Linked DNA regions of Oryctolagus cuniculus. The protein of the gene in region 3 purifies or fractionates together with the protein of the main gene of each other region. This does not show direct contact. Links are inferred from orthologs where the notes say so. Each region holds a gene or a part of one and is shown on either strand. Other genes may lie near its edges. The genes, in order: CUL2, DCAF11, COPS3, BTBD2, DCAF1, DDB2 and COPS7A.

Region 1 (3,120 bases), on a different chromosome or scaffold from region 3:
GGTGCGCTGGCCGCAGCGCGCCAGCCGCGGCGGCCATTGGAGGGTGAACTAACAGCAAAAAGGAAGACTTTTCTCTCTGTCTCTCTCTCTCACTGTCCACTCTGCCTGTAAAAAAAAAAAAGAAAAAAAAAAAGAAAAAATACCAGCTGTGCTGTGAGGGGTAGGCACAAAATAGATGTGATACCAGACCAGAATATTCTAATACTGCGTAGATACACATGATAACATGTTTTTTGTCTCTACGTTAAGTTGCACCTTGTGAAACGCACTCACCAGACCTTTACAAAGGTATCCTGGTTACCTGTGCCTTCCCGGAGCAGACCCAGCGTGAGTCACGGAAGGGTGGCATGAGGGGTCAGGCGGGCAGGAGAGGGGAGGAACACGCGAGCGTCACGGGACCTCCGACAGCGCAGGCTGGGGCTACGCTGGCACGACGCAGCACGGAGCACAGGCCAGCTCTGTCCGCTCAGCCTCCTCTCCTGCCACTCTGTGTGGCGCGCGTGGCCCCGGGAGCTCCCGGCGAATCGTTCCCTCAATATTCAGACTCACCGGCTCCTTCTCATCCACGGAAGGGACGCGCTCCGTGCGCTGAGCCGCGCTCTTCCACGTGGGAGGGGAGGGAGTGAGCTGCTCCCCACTGCCTCGGCACCAGCACGCATGGCCGGCCGGGCACTCCCTCCACGTACAAAGAGGCATCCTATTTCTTTATTTTCTTTTATTTGACAAGCAGCAATATCATGTTTGTCATTTTAATGTAGATACAATTATTAGGTTATCTGTCATATTACAATATTTAAGTTTTTATTTTATGTCCTTTAAGATACATTAAAAAAAAAACACATCAACTGCAAACATGAAGGGGAGAAGAAGCATGGCACCCAACCCGATTTCCACACGTCAGCGACGCTTCATTCCCTCTTTCGATAGAGTTTTAAGAAATGTCCTAATGACATGAGCCTCAAATATTCTCTAGGCATTTTCTTGGACGCTCATGACGTGGCACTGGTGATGTTGTAAACAGCAGAGAAACAGGGGCTGCCGCGTGACCGGGTGATGGGGCCAGGCCCGCCTTCCCACAGGACACACCCAACGGCGACGTCCGCCCTCACGCGACGTAGCTGTACTCGTCCGCGGACGCCTGGCTGCGCTCGATGTACTGCTTGTCTATGAGGACCTCGATGCACTTCTTGATCATGCTGATGCTGGGATTGAACCTGGCTCTCGACTGGCTGATCACCTGCAGGAGAGACAGGACGTCACGCCACTGCCGCCCGACGGCGGGGAGCAGGGACGCCGCAAAGCGCCTCGGGGCCTCGCCCGACAGGGAAAGACAAGCGCTGCGGGCAGGAAATTCTGCTCATCAAACTGTGGTAAAGAACCAGTGGGAGAGGAAGGAGGTGACCAGCGGGGAGTGCCGTGGCCTGCGGTCCCTGTTGGAACAGCCCAGGCAGTGCACATGGGGAGGGAGCCGTCACACCTGTCATTGGCGTCGTGCAGGAATAAAAGCGCAGAGCGCAGACGCCACGAGACCTATTATCCACACCCAGGCGCACTGGACTAGAAACAACGCGCACACACACCCCAGCTCCCATTTGATTCTCAGTCAGCTCTCAACCAATGCTCCAGGTGGCCCCCAAAGTGCCCCAGGCAGGACTCTGCCCACGTCTTCACGGGGCTGTGTGCTCTGCTAGCCTAGGGCTGCACAGGGCTGCCATGTCTTGCACCCCTGGCACCTATCCAGGACCCCAGCAGGCACAGTGGACACTCAGCGGTTTGCAGAATGAATGAATGAATATTGGATGTGGTCAAATCCCTTCAACAGCAGGAGTCAGTAACTCACTGGGCTTTCGACCTCTACACGTAAGCCCATCCACATCTGAACTTCCCACTGAGAAGCAGTGGGCACCGTCCTCGGTACGCAGGCACACGCGCTCCCGCTCCCACTCCCGCTCCCCAGGCAGCCCGGGCACTCCTCCCTTCACCTCTTGGATGAGGGCGTTGTGCCGAAGCACCTTCCGCGCTTTCATGATTCGAACTATAGCAGCCTGCAGATACATCTTCCGGTCTTCATCGACGGCACTTCTTGTCTGCTCCATTTCCTGGTGCACAGAGGAGAACGACAGTTTGCAAAAGAGACATCGAGGCACGGAAGCTGTACTCTGTTCCCTTGCCAGTGACTTGGAATACATTTCTGATCAAACTACGCGGTTATGCAGCGCCCAGAGTCACAAGACCACTGCCCAAACACCACCGGGACGGGTCAGACGCCACTCGCGAGGCTCCAGCTGAAGGGCTGTTAGAGGCGCTCATGCAGCTTAAGCTGAAGGGTTACTGAAAGCAAGCCGTCAGGCAGACCTCTACGCGACAGCAACGGTTTTCCAGCCCACGGCCCTCGGCCCCAGGTGCCTGCTGGGACTGATAGGAAGAGCCGGGCAGGCTCTGTTGGGCTCAAGCAGAAAAAGCCAGGATGGGCCAGAGTGCCTGTCTGCACGGAAACATGTGGAAGGCAGGCGTAGCACTGGCATTTCCTAACCCCTTTAAAAGATAAAATACATGTACTGCATCTCTATTCATCAGCCCAAAGGAACACTGGACAATGACCATTTTGGGGGTCTGTCTGCACCTGAGGGCGGTGGTTCTGGTGAGGGTCTGACATCTCACACATGGTTCTGCCCCCAGTGACTGCACGTGGAAGGCAACAAGGAGACGTGAGTAAGGTCAACTGTCCATCCCAGTGCTGAGTTCCAAGAATCAAGAGCAGATGCCCACCACTGACACCGACTCACCAGGAGTGCAGACCCCTCTGTGGACATGCGAGAGGGCAGTGACCACTCGAGCAAGATGCCCAGGGGGTTCCCGTGCACCTCCAGTTTGAGAAGCAGGGAGGTATCTGGCCCCTGGTTGGGATCCCAGGAAGCCTGCTCGCACTCCATACTGTGCGTCTGCTCCCAGCTCCCACGAGCTCCCGGATTCCAGCTTCCTGCTAACGTGCACCCTGGGAGGCAGCAGGTGACGGGTCCCTGCCACCCACCTGGGAAACCTGGAGGGAGTTCGTGGCTCCTGGCTCCAGCCCTTGCAGGAGCTCTATCGGATCATTTCTGTCCTTCAAATAAACACAGT
Region 2 (3,136 bases), on a different chromosome or scaffold from region 3:
ATGCTAGGCTGCCAGTGCTTAACTATTTTAACGACCACCCGTCTGTCAACTCTCCAGCTCTCAGTTCCACTTCTGCTCTCACCTTTTTTGGGCACCTGCTGCCAGCGGTAGTCCCAGTTTTGCTGTGTGGCAGCCTGGCGTGAAGCTTCCATGCCTTCTCGGCTGGAAAAGCGTCGGATATCCCAGAGTTTGATGGTCTGGTCTTTGGAGTTGGAGATGAGGTACCGCGCATCACCCTGGGAATCCCAAGATGGGTAATGAGGCATTGGAACTTGCAAATGTCAGTGCCTGTGCGTTCTCGTTCCCCTTCCCTCGCTGAAAAGGAAGAACTCCAGCCTCTGATTTTGCTTGCTTCTTTATCCAGGTCAGCTCACCTTCGACGCTCTGTCTCAGATCCTACCCGCCAGCTGGGTTTTCCTCTCTTTGCTCAGGGCACTCACTGGCTGGAACTTCTATTCTATCCTGGATTAGATCGTCTTCTACTTTTTTTACACAGAAAGCCCTGCCCTGCTCCTTGAGAACTGGTGGGTACACACAGAGCTCATGTTTCCTGGCTTTGGTTCCTTCCATAAGTTCCAGCTCTTGCAAGCCTTGATTAACAAGCACCGTATTAGTCAAGGCTTGCGAATGGTGTCTAATTCCCACACCAGTTCATGTTCCCACCATCTTGGGCAACCAGAACTTTGGTTGCCTGGCTCTGCATCCTGCCTCTCTGCCCACCTTGCTGTCAATGAAGGTGATGCCATCCTGGTGTCCGGCCAGCGCACCCACAGGCTTGGGGTCATCTTCCCGCATAGTGCGTCGATCCCACACTTTGCAGATGGCATCGTCACCCCCAGAGAACAAGATCTGAGAGCTTATATCAGCAAAGGCCACTGCATTCACATCATCTTCATGGGACTCGATCTAGGGGAAAAGGAGGCCAGGATACTTGACATTCGCTTTCCAAACCCTACAGTAAGCCAGAGACCACGAGGCAGAGGCTCTCAAGCTCTCGAGTGATACCTGAAGGGTACGCCGGTTCTGTTCTCGGTCAAAGACATAGAGGCAGCCATCATTAGCCCTGGAAGGGAAGAGACAAGGGGCTCGTGGAGCCAGACTGAGAGGACCGATGCTCTGAAGAGTCCTGCTGAGAGGCGAGCCCGCAGCTGCTCTACACAGCAGGCTGGGGTCGGGTCGCTGTCTCCCAGGAGGCCCGCCACCTCCCATCGTGATGGGAAATGGCACGCAAGAGGTACAACAGCTTGTAAGCCCTGCCCTTGGAGATGAGCTGTGTGTTCCCAATGGCTGCCAGTGCAGGCTGCGCAACAGGCAACAGCAGAGCCCAACTCTGGGAGAACTCCTATCTCCTCGACTGTAGGAGACATCCCCCAGCACTCACCCTCCCAGCACCTCTCGTCCATCTGAGGACACCGCGATGGAGAAGACGGCAAAGCGACGCTCATCCGGCCTGGAGAGAGCAAACGAGGAGTGGGGTTACGTGGCCTTCCCCTCTACACAGAACCTACTGAGGACGGTGAGGCGCAGCCTCGTGCTCAGCACGTGCCGGAACGTGGATCATCTCAGAGAGAACCTAGCCATCTCATCTACCCTGCTCCTCTGGCTTGCGGGCTGGGTGGTGCCTGCCCAGGGATCTGCGGCACCACCCTTCCCCTTTAAGAGGAGCTCTGGGCCAAGAGGTCGCCTCCTGGAGCGCCTTCCTTGAGAGGTTTCTGATGAGGATGACCAGAAAGGGAAGCCAGTACCTCAGATCCAGGGCAGTGTGTGTGTCTCCTTCCCCGTGGATGTTGCAGATATGGACTAAGAGAAGCAAGAGAAACAAGAATCTTTCAGGGCTGGGGGCAGGAGAGCGGAAACGAAGCGAGGGAAGAGACAGGACAAAGGGCAAGGAGGTCCGAGCTCTCCGAGACTGATCTTCCTGGAACAAGGCAGGGGGCTGTGCTGAGAAGAGACCAGTGCGTGGAGACCTCATCATAGGCTGGAGAGACAACAGAAATCTGGCACACACACTCACTGTAATCAGACCAGCTGGAGTAGAGGAAGTGGTTCCCATCAGGGGTGAAGGCCACATCTAGGACGCTCCAGCCCACATCCCGGGCCTTGATGCTCTTGAACTTATGGAAGCGGCCATACCGGCAGTCATAGAGTCGGATTGTCTGGTCTGTAGAGGCAGGGATCAGAGTCATAGAGCGCCCTCCTTGGATCCGTCCTGGGTCACACCTCCATCACTCAGAGTGTCTGCGGAGTCTTCCCTTTATTGGGGGGTGGGGAGGAGCCCTGACTGTGCAATCCTAAGCCTGGTTCTGAGCTCTGGGTCTGGGGCTCTCTAGCCTTGCTCAGGGGGAATGTCCCTCGTTCCAGGGAAAGGCAGTCGACAGGACCAGGGTCTGGTACCTTGGCAAGCAGACATGAAGATTTGCCCATCTTTGCTGTAGATACCACAGAAAGCCTTCTGAGAGTAGCTATCAGTGAAGCCCAGATCATTGGGCAAGAAGCTGGGGAAGCAGAAGGAAAGCGGGGTTGAGGTGGGCTCGGGATGAGGAGCGTCCCGATTCGCAAAATCCTAACAGAGCAGGAGCTCCAGGCCGAGGGCAGTCTTCCCTTTCGGCTTTGTGACCGATCCCCGGCCTCTGATCCACTCCGCCACGTCCTACATCTCTACACTTTTCCGCTTTGTCTCCCCTTAGAGCTACAACCCCATTTAACCTAACCTGAACGCCTCTGAGGCCCTTTAACATCTGCCCCTTCCAAGTTCGGATCAGACCTATCTGGCCCTTGGTCTGCCCGCCGAGCCCCATACTCACTGAGACATCACTCGAGACTGTTCGCCAAGGGAGAAGCTTCCCCGGTGGCAGAGGCCCCGTTCTCTCTAAATGGAAGGGATTGGGGAACATTGCTAGCAGAGAGAGATCACTTCAGTCACACCAAGCCCCCTCCTCCACGAATGCTGCTTTCGCCACACAGGGACAGGCACCACACACAGGAGTCCTTCCCGGGGGAGCTCTCCAGCCCAAGCACCGAGGCTTCCTTGGGAAGCTGACTTCCTTTCTCTCTGGTGCTGGCTGCCTCAGGCCCGCTGCCAGGCCGGCTGGAGGTGGAGAGGCCTACCTGGTGCAACATTCGAGGAAAGCTGTGC
Region 3 (4,342 bases):
CTCTCTCTGTCAACTCTGTCTTCCAAATAAATAAATCTTTTTTTTTTTTTTTTTAAAAAGGCAGTCCAAATGCCCCAGACTGCCTCACCTACCTCCTTCTACTTCACCGACGCTCAGAAAGCCCAGAGTCCATGCTCAGTCTGCGCACACGTGTGGGTCTCCACCTCTCGCCCCCACACCCTCTGCGACCTGCCCAACGGCTGTGACCTCAACCCTCTCTCCCGTTAGTGGGTGGCTGTTCTCTGCTACCTCACGGGCTGGCGGTGGTCAGTCACTCAGAGCAACCCGGGGGGGCACTGTCCCGTTTCCTCCAGCGTCAGAAGGCAGCACCGCTTACCAGCTTGTGAATTAAGCTGCTACTTCATCCATCCATCTGTCCCCCCCACCACTACGCTGTGTTAACAGCTACAGAAGCCAGGGAGGCCTGCACCGGCACTTTAGTAAGGCAGACCCATAGATTTTGACAAGTACTTTTTTTTTTCGAGATTTGTTTTATGTATTTGAAAGGCAGAATGAGAGAGAGAGAGAGAGAGAGAGAGAGAGATCTTCCACTTGCTGGTTCACTCCCCAAATGGCTGCAACAGCCAGAGCTGGGCCAGGCCAAAGCCAGGAGCTTCATTTGGGTCTCCCACGTGGGTACAGGGGCCCAAGGACTTGGGCCATCTTCCACTGCTTTCCCAGGCCAGAGCAGAGAGCTGGATCGGAAGTGGAGCAGCCGGGACACACACCAGCACCTATATGGGATGCTGGCTCTGCAAGCAGCGGCTTAACCCACTGTGCCCCAAGGTCCACCCCTTAATGGTTATTTTTTGGCGCCCTGGCCACACTCTGTCTCTCTGGTGGTGGTGGTAGGCGTATAATAATTCCAAGCACATTAACTTCAAGTCTCCTGCTCCGGTATGTCTATACAGTAGCTGGGTCTTTTTCCCATTTTTAAAAGAACACTTAAAATAACAGAAAGCCTGAAACCCAGCAACTGCAGCAGGGTATTTGATCATTTAATTCCGGGGGCTTCTGGGCCAGGACACTTTTTTTTTTTTTTTTTTTTTTTGACAGGCAGAGTGGACAGTGAGAGAGAGAGACAGAGAGAAAGGTCTTCCTTTGCCGTTGGTTCACCCTCCAATGGCCGCTGCGGCCGGCGCGCTGTGGCCGGCGCACCGCGCTGATCCTAAGGCAGGAGCCAGGAGCCAGGTGCTTTTCCTGGTCTCCATGCGGGTGCAGGGCCCAAGCACTTGGGCCATCCTCCACTGCACTCCCGGGCCACAGCAGAGAGCTGGCCTGGAAGAGGGGCAACCGGGACAGAATCCGGCGCCCCGACCGGGACTAGAACCCGGTGTGCCGGCGCTGCAAGGCGGAGGATTAGCCTAGTGAGCTGCGGCGCCGGCCGGGCCAGGACACTTTTATACTGAGTAAGTTGACCAAAAACAAAGTTAGTATCCCATCACTACCACACGTGCTTGCAAACCCAGAGCGAACAAACAGCTGCCATCCTGCAGGGCATCACCTCCAGACGGCACAGGCTGGGCGGGGAAGACCTCGCTGGTCGGGGGGAAAGGGCTCCTTCCACGTGAACAGCTGGCCCTGGTGGGCGCTCACAGCTGGGAACGCAGTCACAGCGGTCCGGGACGCGCTGGGTGCCCACAAAATCACTGCTGGGGCCGCGGGGAGAGCCCCGAGTACGGAGGCTTAGGCGCCACTGCGCGCACCCGAGCCGTGTCCGGCCACAGATGCGGCCTCCCGACAGAAAAGCAGGAACTTCCCGCGTTCCTTTCACGGGAAGGTCCGAGTCAGGTCACCCACATTTCCCTCTGCCTGGCACACGGGGCCGCCTCCCCCCAGCCCCACCCCAGGCGCCCATGCAAGGTTCTAGCTGTGTCTAAAAAAAAAAAGCCCGAAGAGGTTAACGGTGGCTCGTCCAAGGTCACGCAGCTCCTGAGAACCTGCACCTAACGGCTACCGGCAATCACTCGCAGCTGCATTTACTGCACCCTCTCCCCCAGGTCCCGACTGCTCCCACGGGGGTCCTCTCCATCCACCCTCACCACGGGACTCGCACAGGGTCGTCACGGCCAGCATCTAACTGCTCTAACCCCGAGCCCTGCTGTCTCAGATGCTGACATAACCAACGTGAAAGAACAAAACATCGGGAGAGCAACCCCACGCCTCGAAATGCAGCCCTACGAGCGCGAGTTCCCTCGGCATGCCGTGGGACCAAAATAAGCGCAGAGGCTCCCGAGCCTGCGCCGGCCAAGGCGAGCCCGGCAGCCAAGGCGCCCGGGAAGAACTCGCCTCCCGCCGGCTCCCCGAGGCCTAGCCTGGAGGCGACCCAGCGCCGCGGAGACCGGCAGGGCGCTGCGCCAATCACCGAAGGCACGGGAGGCCCCCGGGAGCCAATGGGCGCTCGGGAAGGCGACGGCGGAAGTCCCGCCCCCAAACTGTCAAGCGGAGCACCCGGTGGAAAAAGGGGCCCCGGGCCGAAGGGGAGGAAGGGGCCCGGCCGCTCGAGGGCAGGGAGGCCGGCGGGCGGGGACAACGGCGCTCCAAAGCACGAGGGCCCCGGCCACATTCGGCCGCGCTCGCCCGGCCCCGGGGAAGCAGCAGCTTGGGACTCAATGGGCGGTCCCTGCCGTCCGCGCTGGCGCCTGTGGATGCAGGGCCCGTCCCCCGTGCCCGCCCACACCCTCCCTGCCCCGCAGCCGGGGCCCTCACCTTGAGCCGAGAGCTGCCGGACGCTGTTCACGAACTGCTCCAGGGCAGACGCCATGTTTCCCCCGGGGCGGCCCGAGCGGCGCAGGCAGCTCGCGCGGGAAAAGGCGGCCGCGATCCAGCAGAGGGCCTCGAGTGTGGCTACGTCACTTCCGCCGGTACAAGCATCGCGAGAGCTCCCCACGCCGGGAGCCTGTTGCCGTTTCCATGGAAACACTTCCGCGCCCTGTCGAAGCGCCGGAAGTTCGCTTCTCTCTGTGCATCTGTGAAACCCCTCCCTCCCCCCCGCTTTAAATGGAGGTGGGGAGCGCTGGTTTTCCAGTCTCCGTTTTGCCAGATTCTTCGCAGGGAGATTGCCAAGGCTTTTGCTTGTGAGGTGATAAAGACTCACGCAGACTCTGGAGCTAGGCAGTCTGGGTTTAGGCCTGGGGAAGCTGTGTCTGCGCAAGCTTCTTATTTATTTGATAGGCAGAGTTACAGAGAGAGAGAGAGATCTTCCATCTGCTGGTTCACTCCCTAAATGGCCGCAACAGCCGGAACTGGGCTGACTCCAAGCCAGAAGCCAAGAGCTTCTTCTGGGGCGGCCCCAAGCACTTGGGCCATCTTCTACTGCTTTCCCAGGTGCATTAGCAGAGAACTGCTCTGGATCAGAAAGGGAGTAGCCGGATCTCGAACCCGTGCCCATATGGGATGTGGGTGCTGCAGGCAAAGGCTTGATCTATTATGCCACAGCCCCGCCTGGAGCAAGTTCTGTGCTTTCACTGGCCTCTCCCCCCTGCACTTTGGTGCCCGTCTTGCAGTCACTTCTGCTGGGGAAATTTCCCTCCACTGTCCATACTGTCGTCAGCGTCCAGGTCTCGAGGTCAAACATTCTTGCTTCTCTCAGGTCCCTCTTAAGAGCCTTACATTGCACAGCGGGACGTTTTAAAACTGCATCCCGGGGCCGGCGCCATGGTGCAGTATGTTAATCCTCCACCTGCAGTGCCGACATCCCATATGGGCGCTGGTTCTAGTCCTGGTTGCTCCTCTTCCAATCCAGCTCTCTGCTGTGGCCTGGGAAAGCAATGGAGGATGGCCCAGGTCCTTGGGCCCCTGCACCTGCATGAGAAACCTGGAGGAGGCACCTGGCTCCTGGCTTCAGATCGGCGCAGCTCTGGCCGTTGCGGCCATCTGGGGAGTGAACCAATGGAAGGAAGACCTTTCTCTCTGTCTCTACCTCTCACTGTAAAAAAAAAAAAAAAACCTGCATCCCACAACTATTTATTGAGCTCCTGCTGGAACATTCCGGGTCTTTCTGTAGAAAATGAGCTCGTAAAGACCCTAGCAAACAGGGCTGGGTGATCTGAAGGAACAGAGGAAACCAGGGACTGGCCTGGCATGACAGGGAAGGCTTTCTTGGGTACATGCCACCAGCTGAGCTCTGAAGAAAGAAGAATTAACGCACGGGGAAGGAAGGGGTGTTTCTGAGTGAGAGGACAGCCTGTTCTAAGCCTCTGCCTTGGGAAGGAGCTTGCTGTTTGCAAGGGAGTCGTTGAATGACTTCAGGGAGTCATTGTGGTGGACGGTGGGGGTGTAAGGCAGGTCCATCCGGGTCACCCGTATTGGGGGTGAGAAGGGCACAGGGGCGCAAGTACTT
Region 4 (4,419 bases), on a different chromosome or scaffold from region 3:
TGCCGCAGGTGGAGGCGGTCCCGCGAGCGCTGGGCTCCCAGGCGGCCCCACCAGCGATGCGGACGCGATCCGAGGGGTCGCCCATCCTTGCGTCCCCGAGAACGGCTGGCTCTGCGCGAGGGCGCTTCCCACGCCGTGCGTGGCGGGGCAGGGGCAGGGGCGCGGGCGCCAGTCCTGGCCGGCGCTGAGTGAAGCTGCCCCCCCACCCGAGTGGAGAAGCGCCCGGGAGGCAGAGGAGGCGCTGGCCCCCGCGAGTCCCCCAGCGGCACCGCCCACACTCGCGCGGCTCCCGGGGAGCAGGCCAGCGGTGGGGCCGGCGCACCCCGGGGTCCCAGCCCCCGCTCATGCGCACCCCAGTCCCAGCCCCTGCTCAAGAGCACCCCGGGGTCCCAGCGCCACTCCCCGCTCATGCACACCCTGGGGGGCAGCGGTGACCGGTGAGCGCCCTGCACCCCCCCACCGGAAACCCCACAGGGCTCCTGGCCCCAGCCCGGCCCAGCCCTGGCTGCTGGCATCTGGGGAGTGGACCCGCAGAGGGAAGACCCCTCTCCGTCACTCGCCTCTCAAATAAATACAGCAAAGCCTTAAAAATAAAAATACGAAGAGTGGGCGAGACTGGGGGGGATGCGGGGCAGAATGAAGCGTGTGGCGGGGGAGGGGCCGGCCCGATGAGCCGCGTGGGAGGCGCTCCCGGAGCCCCACCTTAGGCTCTCCTAGCTCCGACCTGCGCGCGCGGTCCGTGTTTTGGGGTCCCCTAGACCCGGAGTCCTGGGTCACCGGAGTGTCCCCTGCTGGCGCCCGGCGCCCTCGAGGGTCCTCGTCTGTGTAGGCGTCCCCTGCGCGGGGCAGTCGGACACGGATCCAGGATCCAGGGCCTGACCCGGAGTCCGCGTGCGCAGCTTAGGGCGGGGGTCGCGGGTCTGAGGCGAGGGGCTCACCGTCTGCGGTCTGGGGCTCAGGAGTCACGACCTGGGTTAGGGGTTCGGGTCCAGTGTGTGATGCTGGCGCCGGGGTCCGGGGCTCAGAACCGAAGCCCCCTCTCCACAACCCGCCCCGCCCCCCGAACTCTCCACTCCCCCGCCCCGCCCCTCATCCTGTCCCCTCCCATCGGCCCCGCCCACCAAGCTCCGCCCAAGGCCCGCCCACTGGGCTGCGCTCCGTCCCGACTCTCACTTCCCGTGCAGCCTCCCTGGCCCCGCCCCCGGCCCGCCTCCTGTTCCCTCCCATCGGCCCCGCCCACCAAGCTCCGCCCAAGGCCCGCCCGCCGGGCTCCGCCCCGTCCCCAGACTCCCACTTCCCGTGCAGCCTCCCAGGCCCCGCCCCCGGCCCCGCCTCCTGTCCCCGCCCTGCCGCCTCCATCGGCCTCGCCCCCAGGCTCCTCCCCAGGACCGCCCGCCGGGCTGCGCTCCGTCCCCAGACTCCCACTTCCCGTGCAGCCTCCTGTCCCCGCCCCCGGCCCCGCCTCCTGGCCCCGCCCTCCCGCCTCCCATCGGCCCCTCGCGGCCCCGCCCACAAGGCCCCGCCCCCGCGCCGCAGCGACAAGATGGCGGCGGGAGGCAGCGGCGGGCGCGCGTCGTGCCCGCCGGGGGTCGGCCCGGGCGCGGGGGGCGCCCCGGGGCCCAGCGCCAACGCCGCCGCGCCCGCCCCGGGCAACGCGGCCGCCGCCGCCGCTGCCGCCGCCGCCGCTGCCGCCGCCGCCGCCGCCGCCTCCGCGCCCGGGCCGGCCCCCGCCGCCGCCGCCGCCGCCGCCGCGCCGGGCCCCGGGGCGGACGCGCAGGCCGCGGGCGCCGAGCGCGAGGAGGCGGCGGGGGCGCTGCTGCGCGAGCCCGCGTACAACTGGCAGGCGTCGAAGCCCACGGTGCAGGAGCGCTTCGCCTTCCTCTTCAACAACGAGGTGCTGTGCGACGTGCACTTCCTGGTGGGGAAGGGGCTCGGCGCGCAGCGCGTCCCGGCGCACAGGTGGGCGCGCGGCCCGCGCCGCAGGCTCCCTCCCCGTCGCGAGGCCGCCCTCCGGGAGCGCGGGGGGCGTCGGCTCGGGAGCAGCCCCTCCTGGGGCCCCCGCGGTGGGGCCCGGGCTGGGGGCGCGGGGTCCCCCCCCCGGGGCGTCCCTGCCCGCGTCGGGGTCCTCGGGCGCCGGCCTGCCGTGCGTCAGGTCACCGCGCGCTGCTCCGTCATCCTGGGAGCCGGGCCGTCCCCCGCGCGACGCCCGGAGCCAGCGCCGGCGGGGTCCAGCCGGGGTCAGGGGCTCGGATCTCGGGGTGTGAGTGGGGGGCGGCTGCTGGGGCCCCGGGCTGACCTTGGCTTGGGGGCCCTCGGAGAGCGGGGGACCACGGTGGGGACAGGTGTTTCGGCCGCAGTGGAGGGGGCCTGGGGTCCGGGCGCGGCCGCCTGAGCAGCAGTGAGGGGCGCCTGGCCTGGCCCCGGGGGCTTTGAGGTGCAGGGGGAGGTCTGGGGGCGTCCGGGGGGCCGCGCAGGTCCCGGCTTCCGTGGAGCCGCCGCCATGGTCTCGGGTGTGTGGCTGAGCGCCCCCGTGGGGGCAGGTGCAGGACTGGGGGCCCAGCCTGCCGTGCCTCAGTTTCCACTCCTGTGCAATGGGACCCTCAGTGCGTCCCCCCCCCCCCCAGTCTGCTGGGACGCCCTGGCCCAACACAGGGGTCCTGCGCTCTCCGCTCCCCGCAGGGTGGGCTGGGCCGCGCTACTCCCTGGGAACACAGGGCAGCCCCCCGAGGTGCGCTGGGTGTGGGGGGCGGCCCTGGCCTCCGGGCCCCCCACCCCCGCGTCCACACCCGAGGGTCCCCAGGGTGCGGCTGGCGCTGTTTGCAGGTGGGGCAGCGGCGCCCCCTGTGGCAGCGTCCGGGTCAGACAGGAGCGGGCTGGGGGCAGCGGAGAATCCCCCCCCCAAGGCTGGGCTCCGGGACCCCAGAGAGGCGGGGAGGCCACAGCCCTGCCCACGCGCCGCCCCGGCCTTCCTCACGGCCGCCCCCGGTAGCGGCCACCGGGGTCCTGCGGGGTCCTGGCGGGGGTCCTGGCGGGGGTCCTGGCGGGGTCCTGCGGGGGTCCTGCAGGGTCCTGGCGGGGGTCCTGGCGGGGGGGGGTCCTGCGGGGTGCTGGCGGGGGTCCTGGCGGGGGGGGGGTCCTGCGGGGTGCTGGCGGGGTCCTGGCGGGGGTCCTGCAGGGTCCTGGTGGGGGTCCTGGTGGGGTCCTGCAGGGTCCTGGCGGGGTCCTGGGGCGTCCTGGGGCCCTGGGCGAGGATGTTGGGTCGGGATGAGGCCTGAGTGCCCGTGCGCGGGAGGCGGCCCCAGGCCTGGTCCCCCCACGGCCGCTGTGGGAGGCGGAGCCTGGGGCTCGTGGGTCCCGGTGGGGCGGTCCCAGTAGCTGAGCGCGGGCAGCTCCCCTGCGCTGGACTGGGCGGCGCTGCCGCCACTCACCCCTGGGTGCGCCGGCATCAGCAGAGGCGCGCGCTTTCGTTCCAATAAAACTTTACTTGTGAAGGCCAGCAGGCCGAGCCGCCCGGGCATCCCGGTGGGCACCGGCACGAGTCCGGGAGTCCCGGCTGCTCCGCTTCTAATCCGGCTTCTTGCCGGCGGGCCTGGGAGGCAGCAGATGAGGGCTCAGGCCCCGGGCAGCCCGGACGGAGCCCCTGGCCCCTGGCCCCGCCCAGCTGCTGCGGGCAGTTGGGAGTGAGCCAGCGGTGGACGCTGTGTCCTGCGACTCTGGCGGCCGCTGTGCTGGGCGGCTGGCGCTCCCCGGGGTCGCGGCGTGTGCGTGCCCCTGCCGGGCTTTTCCCGGAGGCAGACACGGCTCCCGCGGGCTGGGCTGGGGGCTCAGCCCAGGCCTCCCCGGGGCGGCAGGGGCCCCAGCGCCATCCGCTTTGGCGGGCAGCTGGGGTCAGGAGCCGGCGTGCGGCCACTTGGTTCGTTTGCTTGAAGGCGGGTTAGGAGGAGGCAGGCGGCCGCGCTGGGCCGGCTGGGCCGCCGATGCCCCACACCGGACTCGGTGCAGGTCGCTGGGTTCGGGTCTCCGTGGCCGCGGGGCCGGTCGGGGCCGGTGGTGACTACGGTCTGGCCGGCAGGCGGCTGTCCGCGGTGAGGGCGGCGTGACCGTGCTGGTCACCGCACGCTTTGAACCCGGCGACACCCGGCGCCCCCGCCTGGTGCCGCTCCGCGGGCCCCCCCCACGCCCCGGCCAGGGCTCCCCCGCGGGTGCAGGGGCCCAGCACGTGGCCATCTCCGCTGGTGCCAGGTGGAGGCTTAGCCCGCTGCGCCACAGCGCCGCCCGCAAATCCGTCAGCCTCGACGCAAACGGGCCGCGGGGGAGGCCCCGCCTGCAGGCCCGCACCCCACGTGGGCGCGGGTTCGAGTCCCGGCTGCTCCACTTCCGGTCTGGCTCCCTGCTGTGGCCTGGGAGGGCAGTGGACGA
Region 5 (3,701 bases), on a different chromosome or scaffold from region 3:
CATTTGGGGAAGCTAAGTACTAATAAAATCACAGCAGTATTTTTCATTTCTTGGTTTTTTACCTTCTTTGAAACTGTTGGAATCTTAATTGTTAGATGCTTTTTGTCTAACCAATATTGGCTTTGTTCTTTTGTAAGGAGGTAGTTGTCTACTTAGAGAACTCTTGCATTTAGCAGCTTAATATTGTGTCAAGAGGTAAGTTTTTTTTTTTTTTTTCTGGATTGTTTGATGGTAACTTGTGTCCTTATTGTTCAGCACTTAGCATCTCTCCTGCTCCATAACAAATTTGCCACAGAATTTGTTGCTCATGGTGGAGTACAGAAATTGCTGGAAATTCCTCGACCGTCTATGGCTGCAACTGGTGTATCCATGTGCTTGTATTACCTGTCTTACAACCAGGACGCCATGGAAAGAGTAAGTCCAGTCCAGCTGGATGTATGGGAATGAGACTGGGTGGAAAATAGTCTCTCTCCCCCTTTTTTTTTTTTTTAAAGATGTATTTATTTATTTGAAACACAGAGTTAGGCTGAGGCAGAGAGAGAGAGATAAATAGATCTTCCATATGCTGGTTCACTCCCCAGGTGGCTGCAACAGCTGGAGCTGTGCGAATCTGGAGCCAGGAGCTTATTCTGGGTTTCCCATCTGGATGCAGGGGCCCAAGGACTTGGGCCACCTTCTGCTGCTTTCCCAGGCCACAGCAGAGAGCTGGATTGGAAGTGGAGCAGCCGGAACTAGAACCCGGTGCCCATATGGAGTGCCAGCACTGCAGGTGGTGGCTTTACCTGCTATACCACAGCACCGGCCCAAGAATAGTCTCTTTAAAAGAAGTACATTCACAAAGCCGTTTGGTACCTTGGATAAGTCACCACTTGGGATACCTGTATTGCATATTGGAGTGACTGGTTTGAGTCTTGGATGCTCTGCTTTCATTCATAGTCAGGGTTATAGAGAGATTTTCCATCTGCTGGTTCACTTCCCAAAAGGCCACAATGGCTAGGGCTGAGCCAGGCAGAAGCCAGGATCCAGAAGCTTCATTCAGGTCTCCCATGTGGGTGGCAAGGGCCAAGCACTTGCACCATCTCTGCTGCTTTCCCAGGCTCATTAGCAGGGAGCTGCATTGTAAGCATGATAGCTGGGACTCAAATCAGCGTTTATATGGGAGATATTGGTGTTGTAGGTGGCAGCCTGATTCCCTGGACCAAAGTTCCACCCCAGTTCTGCTTTCAGTGCAGCTTCCTGCTAATGCACACCTCTGGAGGCAGCAGATTTTGGCTGCAGTACTTGGGACCTGGCCACCTATTTAACAGACCTGAATTGTGCTCTGGGCGCTGGTTTCAGCCTGGCTCATTCTTGGCTCTTGTAGTCTTTTTGGGAAGTGAATTAGCAGATGGAAGATCTCTCTCCATCTGTTTCTTTGTTTCTGTCTCTCTGCCCTTTAAATTTAACACTTTTTTTTTTTAAATTTTTTTGCCAGGCAGAGTTAGAGAGAGAGGGAGAGACAGAGTTATAAACAGAGAGAGAGAAAGGTCTTCCTTCCATTGGTTCACTCCCTTAATGGTCACTACGGCTGGTGCTGCGCCGATCCGAAGCCAGGAGCAGGGTGCTTCCTCCTAGTCTCCCCTGTGGATGCAGGGACCCAAGCACTTGGGCCATCCTCCGCTGTCCTTCCGGGCCACAGCAGAGAGCTGGACTGGAAGAGGAGCAACTGGGACTAGAACCCGGCATCCATATGGGATGTCGGCGCCGCAGGCGGAGGAGTAATCAAGTGAGGCACGGCGCAGGCCTCTGCCTTTTAAATTTAAAAGAAAAGAACACATTTATGGAATGAATGTTTGGCTTAGCTGATAAGTTGCAGGTTAGAATACCTTTATTCCACACTAGACTGCCTGAGTTTGGAGTCTTGGCTCCCTAGTCCAGCTTCCTGCTAGTGTAGAACCTGGGAGGCAGCAGGTGATGGCTTAAGTAATTGAGTTTCTGCCACCCACATGAGAGACCTGGATTGAATCCCCTGTGTCCTGGCTCCTGGCACTGGTCCTGGCCAGCCCCTTTTCCGACCCCCGCTGTTGTGGACATTTAGGAGTGAACCAATGGAATGAGAGTTCTTTGTCTCTCAAACTAAAAAACAAGTGCATTCACAGAACAACTTTTGGATAAGAAGAAAAGTATAGTTGAAGAAGTAAGTTCTAATGAAAGAAGCAAGGTACATGAATGATTTTCACAAAGCATTCCAAATACAAAAATTTTATGTAGACAATGATCTAGTGTTTTTTTTTTTTTTTTTTTTTTTTTTCTGATTCTATGGAAAAATACAGGATGAATTGGAGTCTAAGGACTTTAGTTTTTGGCAGTTCTCAGGCATTAAGATTAGTCTACAGCTACTTTTCAGATGTCATTCAGTGGAGTTAATATTTTATATCTTTGAGTCAATCTATTGTAAAAGCAATAGACTGCCTGGTATGTATTAACAGTTTGTGACGGATATAATTAAATCTTCCGAACTGTTCTCAGGGTTGAAGTGATTCTGCATTTGGTTCTTCTGTTTTTCCAGTTAAGACCCTTTTTATATGTAGTGATTTTTTTTTTTTTAAGATTTATTTTATTTATTTGAAAGAGTTACAGAGGGGTAGGGGTAGAGGTAGAGAGAGAGAGAGAGAGAGAGAGAGATCCATCTGCTGGTTCACTTCCCAAATGTCTGCAGCAGTCAGAGCTGAGCCCATTTGAAGCCAGGAGCCAGGAGCTTCCCAGGCACACTAGCAGGGAGCTGGATTGGAAGTGGAGTAGCTGGTACTTGAACTGGCACCCATATGGGATGCTGGCACTGCAGATTGGGGCTTTAATCTGCTGTGTCACAGCGCCGGCCCCATGTAGTGAGTTTTTTAAAAAATGTAAGTGGATTATACATTTGAAAAATGATGGTCCCTTGCACATCACTAGGGAACTGTTTTCATTTCTGTGCCTGGAACATTTTCCTGATATTTTTCTGGTGAAGAGTGAAGCTGGTAGTTTCTCCCTTTTTTTTTTTTTTTTTTTAAGCTTTATTTATTTGAAAGGCAGAATGATGCAGAGAGAGAAAGATAGTTTGCATTTCCTATCAGCTAGTTAATTCCCTAAATGTTCTCAATAGCTAGTGCTGGGTCACACTGAAGCCAGGAGCCAGGAGCTCCATCAGACTCTATCTTGTGGGTGTCAGGAACTCAAGTACTTGAGCCTTCCCAGTGCTTCCCAGTGCTTCCCAGTGCTTCCCAGTGCTTCCCAGGTGCGTTAGCAGTAAGCCAGATTGGAGGAAGTGTAGTAGTTAGGACTGGAATCAAGCATTTTGATGTGTGATGCAGGCATTCTCAGGGGTGGCTTAACCTGGTGTTCACAGTGCTTGCCCTGGCAGTTTCTTCTTGAGCTACACTTTATTAGTAAGATACCCAATTTTTATTTTAACTTTTTTCTTTTCTTGAGTTTAGCATTATACAGTGATAGGTAGCCTTCTGAAAATAGGAAATCTGTATGTGTACTCGTACATAAAAAATTAATTATGGCTAAGATACAGAAAAAAGTATTAGGCAAACCTGGGGAGTGCTTTACAGCTCATTCGCTAACGCACAGAGTGTGCGAGTGAAAGAGTTAATACTAAACTTGCAGACTTTGTATCAGTAGACCCAGCCACTTTCATGACCTTGAGGGACGTCTCTCATGTTAAATGGGAATCC
Region 6 (4,186 bases), on a different chromosome or scaffold from region 3:
AGTGCAGAGAATCCGCCCTCCCCCCCCCCCCCCCCACCTTTCAGGGATAGAAATAGATGGTGTGGTTAAACCACAGAAGTAAAGAAAAGAGGTCAGATTCCATGGGTGAGCAATAGTCTATACCTTTTAATATTTCAAGGGCAGGCATTCAAACTAATATTTGAGTACCACACCGTGTACACATTTGCGTTTGACAATGCCCAGTAACGTTCAACCCCAATCATCTCTTTACTGGGTGATGCCAACATTCCTTTCATTCCTGTAACAAACCCGTCTTTAGCAAGGAGAAAGCTTACCCCTTTGATGAAGGTGGGTCTCTCCTTTACCCTAAAGTTCCACAGCATGATGTCTCCCCCTTTGGAACCCACTGCCAGGGTGCTGGGGTGAGTCGGGTGCCAGGCCAAGGAGGTAGCCCTCCTATCAAAGGGGGCAGCCTTTTGGAATATCCGGTAAGAAGCCAGAGAGTGCAAAAAGGACTGCTGGAGACCCTGCCGCAGAGAGAAAAGAATCAAGCTGAATTAAAACCCAAGTCCTGGGGTTATGCAACCAAACTACTAAGTCTTGTAGCGGTTTAAGCTACCCCCAGCAATGCCGCCAACCCATATGGGTGCTGGTTCATGTCCTGGCTGCTCCACTTTCGATCCAGACCCCTGCTACTGTGTCTGGGAAGTCAGCAGTGGATGGTCCAAATGCCTGTGCCCCGGCCACCTATGTCAGAGACAGGGAAGAAGCTCCTGGCTTCAGTCCGGCCCAAGCCTGACTGTGCAGCCATTTGGGAAGTGAGCCAGCAGATGCAGGCCCTCTCTCTCTCTCTCTTCCTGTAACTCTGTCTTTCAAATAAATAAACAAATCTTAAACACAACCTCCCCCCCACACATACACACGCACACACACCAAGTCCCAGGCAAACTGGTAAAGTGCCAATCTCTGCCTTCACAGATGAGCCTGAGGGCCAAATCCCACCCACCCCCCCCCCAAAGGAAAAGTAACTGCCTGGCCCTGTACATGAAAATATTTGCAACATACGTGACCTACTCTTGGAAAGCAAAGGGGCAGAGGTGCATTCCACTGGGACCTTTATAATCTAAGACTTTTCTATCTAGCTGAGCTCCCAGCGGGCCCGTCACCACCACGGTTGGGGGGGAGGGGTGTGATCTGACCACTTTGACAAAAACCAATTCTGGAGCATCCAAAAAACAAAACAAAATACCATGCAAACCCTGGAGCACACCAGCCAGGAAACACCCACCTGTTGCAGCGATGGCCAGGCAGTTCTGCCCAGCCTGTGCTGGTGCAAGGCCCTGACAAGGCTGCTGCAGGGCTGCGGGTCCTGCAGGCCGGGCAACCCCGCCGGGAGGCAGTCTGAGTCAGATCTTCTGCCAGGAGCTGCCAAGAAGAGCAGAGACATACTTTCCCCTCCAGTCTCAGGAAAGGCTTTCCTGGTGAAATCTCAGGCGGTCCTGTTGTAGCAGTCACTAGAGCCACCCGGTCCCATCACCTCTGGGCTTTCCCATGGTCTGTTTATCTACTTCACCCGGCACAAGAAATAGTAGGACTCAGTCCCTTCCCCAAAACCGTTAATTCTAAGTGTGATCTTACAAGGTTCCTGAGGGTTGAGGCAAAGAAACACACAGGAATAAAGTGCACTGTAGAACTCCTCCCAGTGTAGATGGGGTTGGGTGCCAATTTTAAAATTGCAAAGTAGTGGGGTCCCTGCCACCCACTTGGGAGACCCAGATGGGGGTTCCTGGCTCCTGCTTTTGGCCTGGCCCAGCTCCGGCTGTTGCAGGGATCTGGGGAGTGAACCAGCGGCTGGGAGCTCTCTGTCTCTCCCCAGAATAAATAAAACAAAATCACATATAACGCACAACAAAAATGGTTTTTGGACAGCAGAATGCAAGTGATTGTCTCCAAAAAGATGTCACTTTAAATGCTGGATTAAAGTAGTGTAGAGGTGACATCAACTTAGAACAGGAAGTAGACGAGTCTAGATGATTATCTAACTGTATCTGCATTTTCAGTCTCTATGGGTCTTTTTGACAACCTCTTGTTTCTTCTCAAGGACAAAAACCACGTTATCCGCAACCCCCTGCCCCAGTCTTGGGTTCCCCCATTACCCCTTACAGCCCCAAGTTCAAACCCCAGGAAACCTCAGAGATGGAGCTTTCTAAGGAAGGCAACAGGAGGCTGTCCCAGCTAAAACCAAGGCCACAGAACTAGACACCCGCCGCGCCAGGAGAGGTAGATTACTTAGGCAGCCCTCAGGGTGTAAAACGCCTCAGACAGACAAGGACTGGAAGGGGGGCTCATCTGTTTCCTCCTCCCGGCGAGGAGGGGGCTCTTTAAACCTCAGCTCCCCGGGGCCAAAGGGCCTGCAGGCAAAAAGCACAGCCTGAGGCACCGATCCCTGGGGTTGCCCCAGGAACCCCGGAGCCATCCCCCACTCCGGCCTGGGCCCCCCGAATGGCGGAAGCATTAAAGCCGCAAGCACAGGCAGTACCGCAGCCCGTGACGTTCAGCTTCTTGGCCTCGGGCTCTGGGTCTCGGGGACTTCGGTTCCTCTTGCTCCGGGGGCGCAGCACAACCTCGAGGGGCTTCTGGGCTTCGGGGCGTTTCTTGGGAGCCATCGCGCCGCCCGTGCGAAGGGGCGTCCTATGCAGGGATCCCGGAGGGAGGACTGAAAAGCCTCTGCCGGGAGAGGCAAAGCGGGGAGCCCGAAACCCCCGCGGCTACAGGTAGCCCAACTAAGCCAACTTCCCGCCAAACATGCCCGGAGCTTGTTTGGTTCTGACTCTGGCTCCGCCCCTCTCGGAGGGACACGCCCCTTCCGGGAAGGCGGGACGTGCGCGGCGATTGGAAGAGCGTGAAGGGCGGAGCTTCCGCTCTCCGGCAGGCGTCTGGGTTTTTCTTTTTTTCTTCTTGGAGATTGGGATGTCTCCTCTGTGATGCGCCGCGCGTTGCATAACCGCTCATGTCTGAACACAGATAGTAACACGGACACGATCCAAAACACAAAAGTGACCAGAACTCTCCCTGTTTCGGCCAATACGGAAACTAACGGCGGCCGCTGAGCCAGCCACACCTTCAGCCTTGCTGCTTGCTACCCGCCCTTATCTACCTTATCTAGGGATAAGGCTGATCAGGATGCTGTAGGGGAGGACTCGCTGCCGGCGTCGCTGGGGCCCAAGATTTAAACCAACGTGGCACGGATTAACGGGAGAGCGCAGAGACCTTCTATTTCATGTTTTTGCACGTACCTGGGAGACTTTAAAAGGAAAATGAAGACCCAAAGAGGCCGTCAGGCCCAAGGCTTGTGCCATGTCTCTTCTTACACAGAGGACACTCAGCTGTGGAGATGTGACCGAGGCTTGAGCTAGGGGCGGTGAACTGTGAGGCAGTGACTAGAAAACACGTGGGTGGGACTAGTGCAAGATTAGCTTGGCCAGGTCCCTTTCAGTGTGGACTCCCAGTCCCTGGTGGTGAGACTGTTCTCTCTTCCTGGTTCCTCATGGGAAATGTTATGACCTCCTGTTAGGCAGAAAGGGGAAGGAGGCTTTCCTGCACTGCTGTTTGTTCAGGTGCTGTCGGCTCAAAATACTCAGTATGCTGGGCGGGGGTTTGACGTGCTGGTTAAGACACCGCTTGAGACACATATCCCCTATCCAAGAGCCTGAGTTCAAGTCCTGGCTTTGCTTGGATTGCAGCTTCCTCCTAACGCACACCACGAAGCAGCAGGTCAGGCAGGTGGGTCCTTGCAGCTCGTGTGGGAGACCTGGACGGGGTTTCTGGTTCCTGGCTTGAGCCAAATAGTTGGAAGCATTTTTTCTTGTCACTGATTGAGGCTGGTGTCCCAGAAAGCAAAAGAATTCAATAGAACAATCAGATAGAGGGAGCAGGGTTAGACTTATCAAATATATTTCAAAGGAGCAGCAGGCAGCCAGGACTAGTGGAAACTGACTACTGGAGCAGCAGGCAAGCAGGACAGCTAGACCTGTATTATGCAACACGGACGGCAAGGTAAGAAGCATACTTGTAACTGCAGGACCTTCTTAGCTAGCATGAGTTTTTCCCATGACTAACAGGTTCTCCCAGCTAGATGATTTGCATTTATGGGCGGAGCTAAGGAGCACTGCTCATACCAGTGCTTTGGGATTTCCCAGTATCCTGGGGTATCCCTCAGCATCTC
Region 7 (3,661 bases), on a different chromosome or scaffold from region 3:
TCTGGGCTCCTGGCTTTGTCGTGGCGCTGTCATGGCTATTGAGGGCATCTGGGGAGCAGACTAACAAATGGAGATCAAGCTCCCTCTCTAGCTCTGCTTGTCAAGTAGGTGACAATAAACATAAAACACAAGAAAAAACCCACTAAGCTCACCCAGTCTACTTTTAATCAAAACCTCAAGACCCCACTCCTACTGGCTGGCTCCACGACTGACAGCTGCAGGGCCGGTGTGGAGTGGTCTCTCTTCAGCCTCCACCTAGACAACCAGCACCAGCTCTGCAGAGAGGGCTCCCTGCCGCCTCCGCCACAGCCTCCCGGTTCCGAGGCGTTCACGGCAGCACTCTGGGCCAGGCTAGCAGACTTCCTGCGAAGTCCTAACTTGGAAGAAGGGCAGGAGCCCAACTGCGTGCTCCTGCCAGATACGATGGCTGTGACTGTGATGTGAAATCCAAGTTCGTCATCAATCTTCCCCTGAGGATTCTCTTATGATGCAGGAGGCAGGGAGCATGACCGGCACACGTGGGTGCTCAGGAAGGAGCGCTCATGTATGAAGCAGTCTGTCCAAAGCCACAGGGCACCAGGACTCGGGATTTAGAATCTGGTTCTCATCATTTTCCAGCCCTTTTTTAGAGTAGACTGGGAATGAGTCTTCTTCCCATCCACAAATATCAAACACAGAAGATACCCAGTGCAGGACATGTGTGTAGATAGACTTCTCATAGATTTATTTCTGTGTCATGTTATATATAGATATATGCATATACACCTTTTTAAATACAATCTATATGCCCTCCCTTCCCCACCAAAGTCACAACAGGGGACATAAAGCCTTGCAGGACTGCCACCAGGCTTCCCAAGATGGTCAGGGCCCACAGAACCATCTCTCAGCATCCTAATAACAGCTGCCCTCCTTGGGCTCTGGGGTTACTGAAGCTGCAGCACTCCCAGGATCCAAGGGGAAGAAGGAGGAGAGGAGACAACCGTAGTGTGAGAGAATTCTAGGATGAAAGTGTCCAGTCATTCAGAATGGCAAGCCGGCTCCCAAACTCTCAGGGTGGGCATAAAGGTAAGGGCCCATGGCCCTTGAGATGCCACCCATAGGTGGGGGTAGGGAGTGATGGGGGGGACAGGCATGCAGCAACATGGCAGGAGAAGGAACACCTGTGGGTTATGCTGGAGACAGAGCAAGCCCCGTCAGAGCTAGCCCCTTACCTGGCGACAGATGTAAGGAACAGGATAGATGTCGAGCTCTTAAAGAAACAGAGCACGATGGGGAAGGGGGCAATGCAACACATTAGAAAGTCACATAAAACAAAAGTACCAATAAAAATGTGACCTGTACTTGCCTCCTCCCCAGAGAAGGTGTGATCTGCTTGGGGGTGGGGGTGGGGGTGAAAGGTCATGAACTGAGGATTATCAGCTGGCCAGGGGCACAGGAAAGCTCTCTGAGAACTCCTAAGGGCAGGCAGGCAGCTGGGACCCACAGTCCCAAGGAAGAAATGACAGTCCCTTCAGTTCGACTTGGACCAAATCTTGGCACTCCCTCGGAGCCTGGCAAGGGGAAGAGAAAGAGAATGGGTGCAGGGACTCCCTACCCCCAAAGCCTCCCCCAACTCCCTATCCCCATGCAAAGGATGAAAGGAGAGGATGTAAGAGCAGCTGGGGCCCCGAGCTGAGTGGAGTGCCCCAGGGCAAGAGCTCCGCTGCCCGGCTCACCCTTTGCCCTTTGAGGCCTTCTTGCTGGGCTGGCGCTGGTTGGTGCCTGCGGCAGGTTCTCTCAGCTCAGTCAGGTGTTGCTCAGGGTCCTGAGATGTGGCTGCAGCCGCTGCCGCAGTGGTAACTTTAATGGTTTTCTTAAGGTTGGCAACCTACCAGGATGAAAGCCATAGGGGGGAGCAAAGAAGTTTCCGGAACATGATAGACTCTGCCCATCTGACCTGTCTGCTACAGCCATGGTCCAAACGCCTCTGCACAGGACAAGTGGCCCAGGCTGGGGCAGTGTGGGTGAGCCCTGCTCACCTCACTCTCAATCTGCTGCTTCAGGCCCAGCTGCTGCTCCTTGTGCTGGTTGGCCCGGCTCACTTGCTCCTCAATGCCTGACAGCACAACCTCACAGCCCACACACCTGCAGGGTGGGACGAGGAGACGCGTCAGCACAGAGGGCTGCGAGCACACTCATGACAGACAGACTCCAAAAGACCCGTAGCTCCCAGCATCTAACCCCTGTCCGAGCTGGGCCTTGGCAACCACCTACAGCAGTCCCCCCAGTGAGACAGACCCTCAGGTGGGACAGGAGAGTGGCAGGGAAGTGCCGCAAGTGCTGGGCAAGTCGGAGGAGAAGCGGAAAACCAAAGGGGTGGGGGATGAATGAGGACGGACAGTGAGGTTAGACAGGAGCAAAGCAGAGGCCTGTGGCCAACGGCGGTCACAAACCAATGAGTTGAATCCAGCCTAGACAGGTGACTGACGTGGGTAGCATCCCCGCTCCCTCCCCATGCACTTTACCAAGGATACTGCCTCCTGCCTCCCTGGGCCGCCTCCATCCCTGCCTCAGATGCCTTTGGAGGGATGGCTCACTTTGCTTCAGCCTCCTGGGTCGCAGCCCAGCCCAGCCCCTGCTCTCTCCTGCCCTGAAGTACCTCTCCCTTTCTTGGGGTGAGGAGGGGAGGGACAGTGCCGCCCTCGGCTCTCACCACTCCTGCAGGGTTCGGGCGATGGCGCTGAGGTCCTGGCGCTGGATGTCTCGCCCGATGCTGTAGTCCACCTCCAGCCGCTGATTGCGCTGGTCCAGGGAGCCGCGGAGCACATCCGCGTACACGGCCTCGATCACCAGGTCCTCCAGCTGCCGCACGTTCCGCAGGGCCAGCGCCTCCAGCAACACTGCGTATGGGATGCACTGGGCCCGGGAGGCCAGGATTTGTGAGGAGCCGCAGCAGGAAGGGGTTTCCAGAAATCATCTTCCCTCCGCCCTGGCTCATCTGCCCTCCGCTCTGTTCCTATACCACTTCCTCTAGGGCAGAATAAGTAAATGTATTCCCACCTCAAGAAAACAGCATGAGAAGGCCAATCTTAAATAAAACACAAGACTTAAGCTCCCTTACCACCCTATTTCTCCAGACCAGAGCGAGCAAGCAAGCGACACCTGTCTGGGGTCATTCCTCTGGCCACAGCTCAGGAGCTCAGGCAGCCCTGCATCAAGATCACCCTGGCACGGTGGGAATATGCGGCAGGGGAGAAGTCTGACCTCTGCACAGGCATTGCACAATGCAGAGCTCGGTTTAAATCAAGTCAGGACAGTAACAAGACAGTCAAATAACAACTGGGAAACCTCAGCTTGGGGGGTGTGGCAGGAAACTGAGGCCAGCAGGAATACAGAGATCCTTCTGCGTTATATGCATGTCTTACTCCACCAAACAGAAGCCTGGCACCTTGTCAGAAGAGAGCCTATTCCAGCTGAGGCCGTGGGAACGGAAGTAATTGTACAACACATGCATGGCACCCTCGTTGCCACTTTCAGCAGCATACAAAAGATATTTACTTAGAACTTAAGGTGACTGAAAACTTACAAAGAGAAAACTAAGAGAAGGCTCAGCCTAAATGGCTCGGTGATGGACTCCAGACAGACCCTGAGGGGGGCAGGACGAGGCAAGTCTGGTCCTGGG

What was found.
Region 1: the proteins of COPS3 (region 3) and CUL2 purify together in Homo sapiens (affinity purification with mass spectrometry; 5 studies listed by BioGRID and IntAct, counting the BioPlex papers as one, with this or other methods). This does not show direct contact. The link is inferred for Oryctolagus cuniculus from reciprocal best matches to the Homo sapiens genes COPS3 and CUL2.
Region 2: the proteins of COPS3 (region 3) and DCAF11 purify together in Homo sapiens (affinity purification with mass spectrometry; 3 studies listed by BioGRID and IntAct, counting the BioPlex papers as one, with this or other methods). This does not show direct contact. The link is inferred for Oryctolagus cuniculus from reciprocal best matches to the Homo sapiens genes COPS3 and DCAF11.
Region 4: the proteins of COPS3 (region 3) and BTBD2 purify together in Homo sapiens (affinity purification with mass spectrometry; 3 studies listed by BioGRID and IntAct, counting the BioPlex papers as one, with this or other methods). This does not show direct contact. The link is inferred for Oryctolagus cuniculus from reciprocal best matches to the Homo sapiens genes COPS3 and BTBD2.
Region 5: the proteins of COPS3 (region 3) and DCAF1 purify together in Homo sapiens (affinity purification with mass spectrometry; 5 studies listed by BioGRID, with this or other methods). This does not show direct contact. The link is inferred for Oryctolagus cuniculus from reciprocal best matches to the Homo sapiens genes COPS3 and DCAF1.
Region 6: the proteins of COPS3 (region 3) and DDB2 purify together in Homo sapiens (affinity purification with mass spectrometry; 7 studies listed by BioGRID and IntAct, with this or other methods). This does not show direct contact. The link is inferred for Oryctolagus cuniculus from reciprocal best matches to the Homo sapiens genes COPS3 and DDB2.
Region 7: the proteins of COPS3 (region 3) and COPS7A purify together in Homo sapiens (affinity purification with mass spectrometry; 14 studies listed by BioGRID and IntAct, counting the BioPlex papers as one, with this or other methods). This does not show direct contact. The link is inferred for Oryctolagus cuniculus from reciprocal best matches to the Homo sapiens genes COPS3 and COPS7A.

The regions. Positions count from the first base shown.
Region 1 is NC_091444.1:107,511,734-107,514,853, reverse strand, and holds the end of CUL2 (cullin-2), read right to left. Parts: intron 2,100-3,120; coding exon 1,983-2,099; intron 1,238-1,982; coding exon 1,106-1,237; 3' UTR 701-1,105; downstream 1-700.
Region 2 is NC_091443.1:51,073,662-51,076,797, forward strand, and holds part of DCAF11 (DDB1- and CUL4-associated factor 11), read right to left. Parts: coding exon 3,109-3,136; intron 2,870-3,108; coding exon 2,805-2,869; intron 2,496-2,804; coding exon 2,395-2,495; intron 2,162-2,394; coding exon 2,015-2,161; intron 1,801-2,014; coding exon 1,746-1,800; intron 1,451-1,745; coding exon 1,382-1,450; intron 1,064-1,381; coding exon 1,006-1,063; intron 907-1,005; coding exon 721-906; intron 237-720; coding exon 83-236; intron 1-82. UniProt on the Homo sapiens protein: May function as a substrate receptor for CUL4-DDB1 E3 ubiquitin-protein ligase complex.
Region 3 is NC_091448.1:66,273,008-66,277,349, forward strand, and holds the start of COPS3 (COP9 signalosome complex subunit 3), read right to left. Parts: upstream 2,938-4,342; 5' UTR 2,765-2,937; coding exon 2,710-2,764; intron 1,647-2,709; exon of another isoform or gene 1,505-1,646; intron 1-1,504. UniProt on the Homo sapiens protein: Component of the COP9 signalosome complex (CSN), a complex involved in various cellular and developmental processes.
Region 4 is NC_091447.1:58,986,911-58,991,329, reverse strand, and holds the start of BTBD2 (BTB/POZ domain-containing protein 2), read left to right. Parts: upstream 1-1,536; 5' UTR 1,537-1,543; coding exon 1,544-1,959; intron 1,960-4,419.
Region 5 is NC_091441.1:98,115,743-98,119,443, forward strand, and holds part of DCAF1 (DDB1- and CUL4-associated factor 1), read left to right. Parts: intron 1-255; coding exon 256-414; intron 415-3,701. UniProt on the Homo sapiens protein: Acts both as a substrate recognition component of E3 ubiquitin-protein ligase complexes and as an atypical serine/threonine-protein kinase, playing key roles in various processes such as cell cycle, telomerase regulation and histone modification.
Region 6 is NC_091432.1:18,730,492-18,734,677, forward strand, and holds the start of DDB2 (DNA damage-binding protein 2), read right to left. Parts: upstream 2,821-4,186; 5' UTR 2,628-2,820; coding exon 2,501-2,627; intron 1,387-2,500; coding exon 1,250-1,386; intron 489-1,249; coding exon 297-488; intron 1-296.
Region 7 is NC_091440.1:102,788,957-102,792,617, forward strand, and holds the end of COPS7A (COP9 signalosome complex subunit 7a), read right to left. Parts: intron 2,896-3,661; coding exon 2,693-2,895; intron 2,125-2,692; coding exon 2,019-2,124; intron 1,868-2,018; coding exon 1,716-1,867; intron 1,551-1,715; coding exon 1,511-1,550; 3' UTR 702-1,510; downstream 1-701.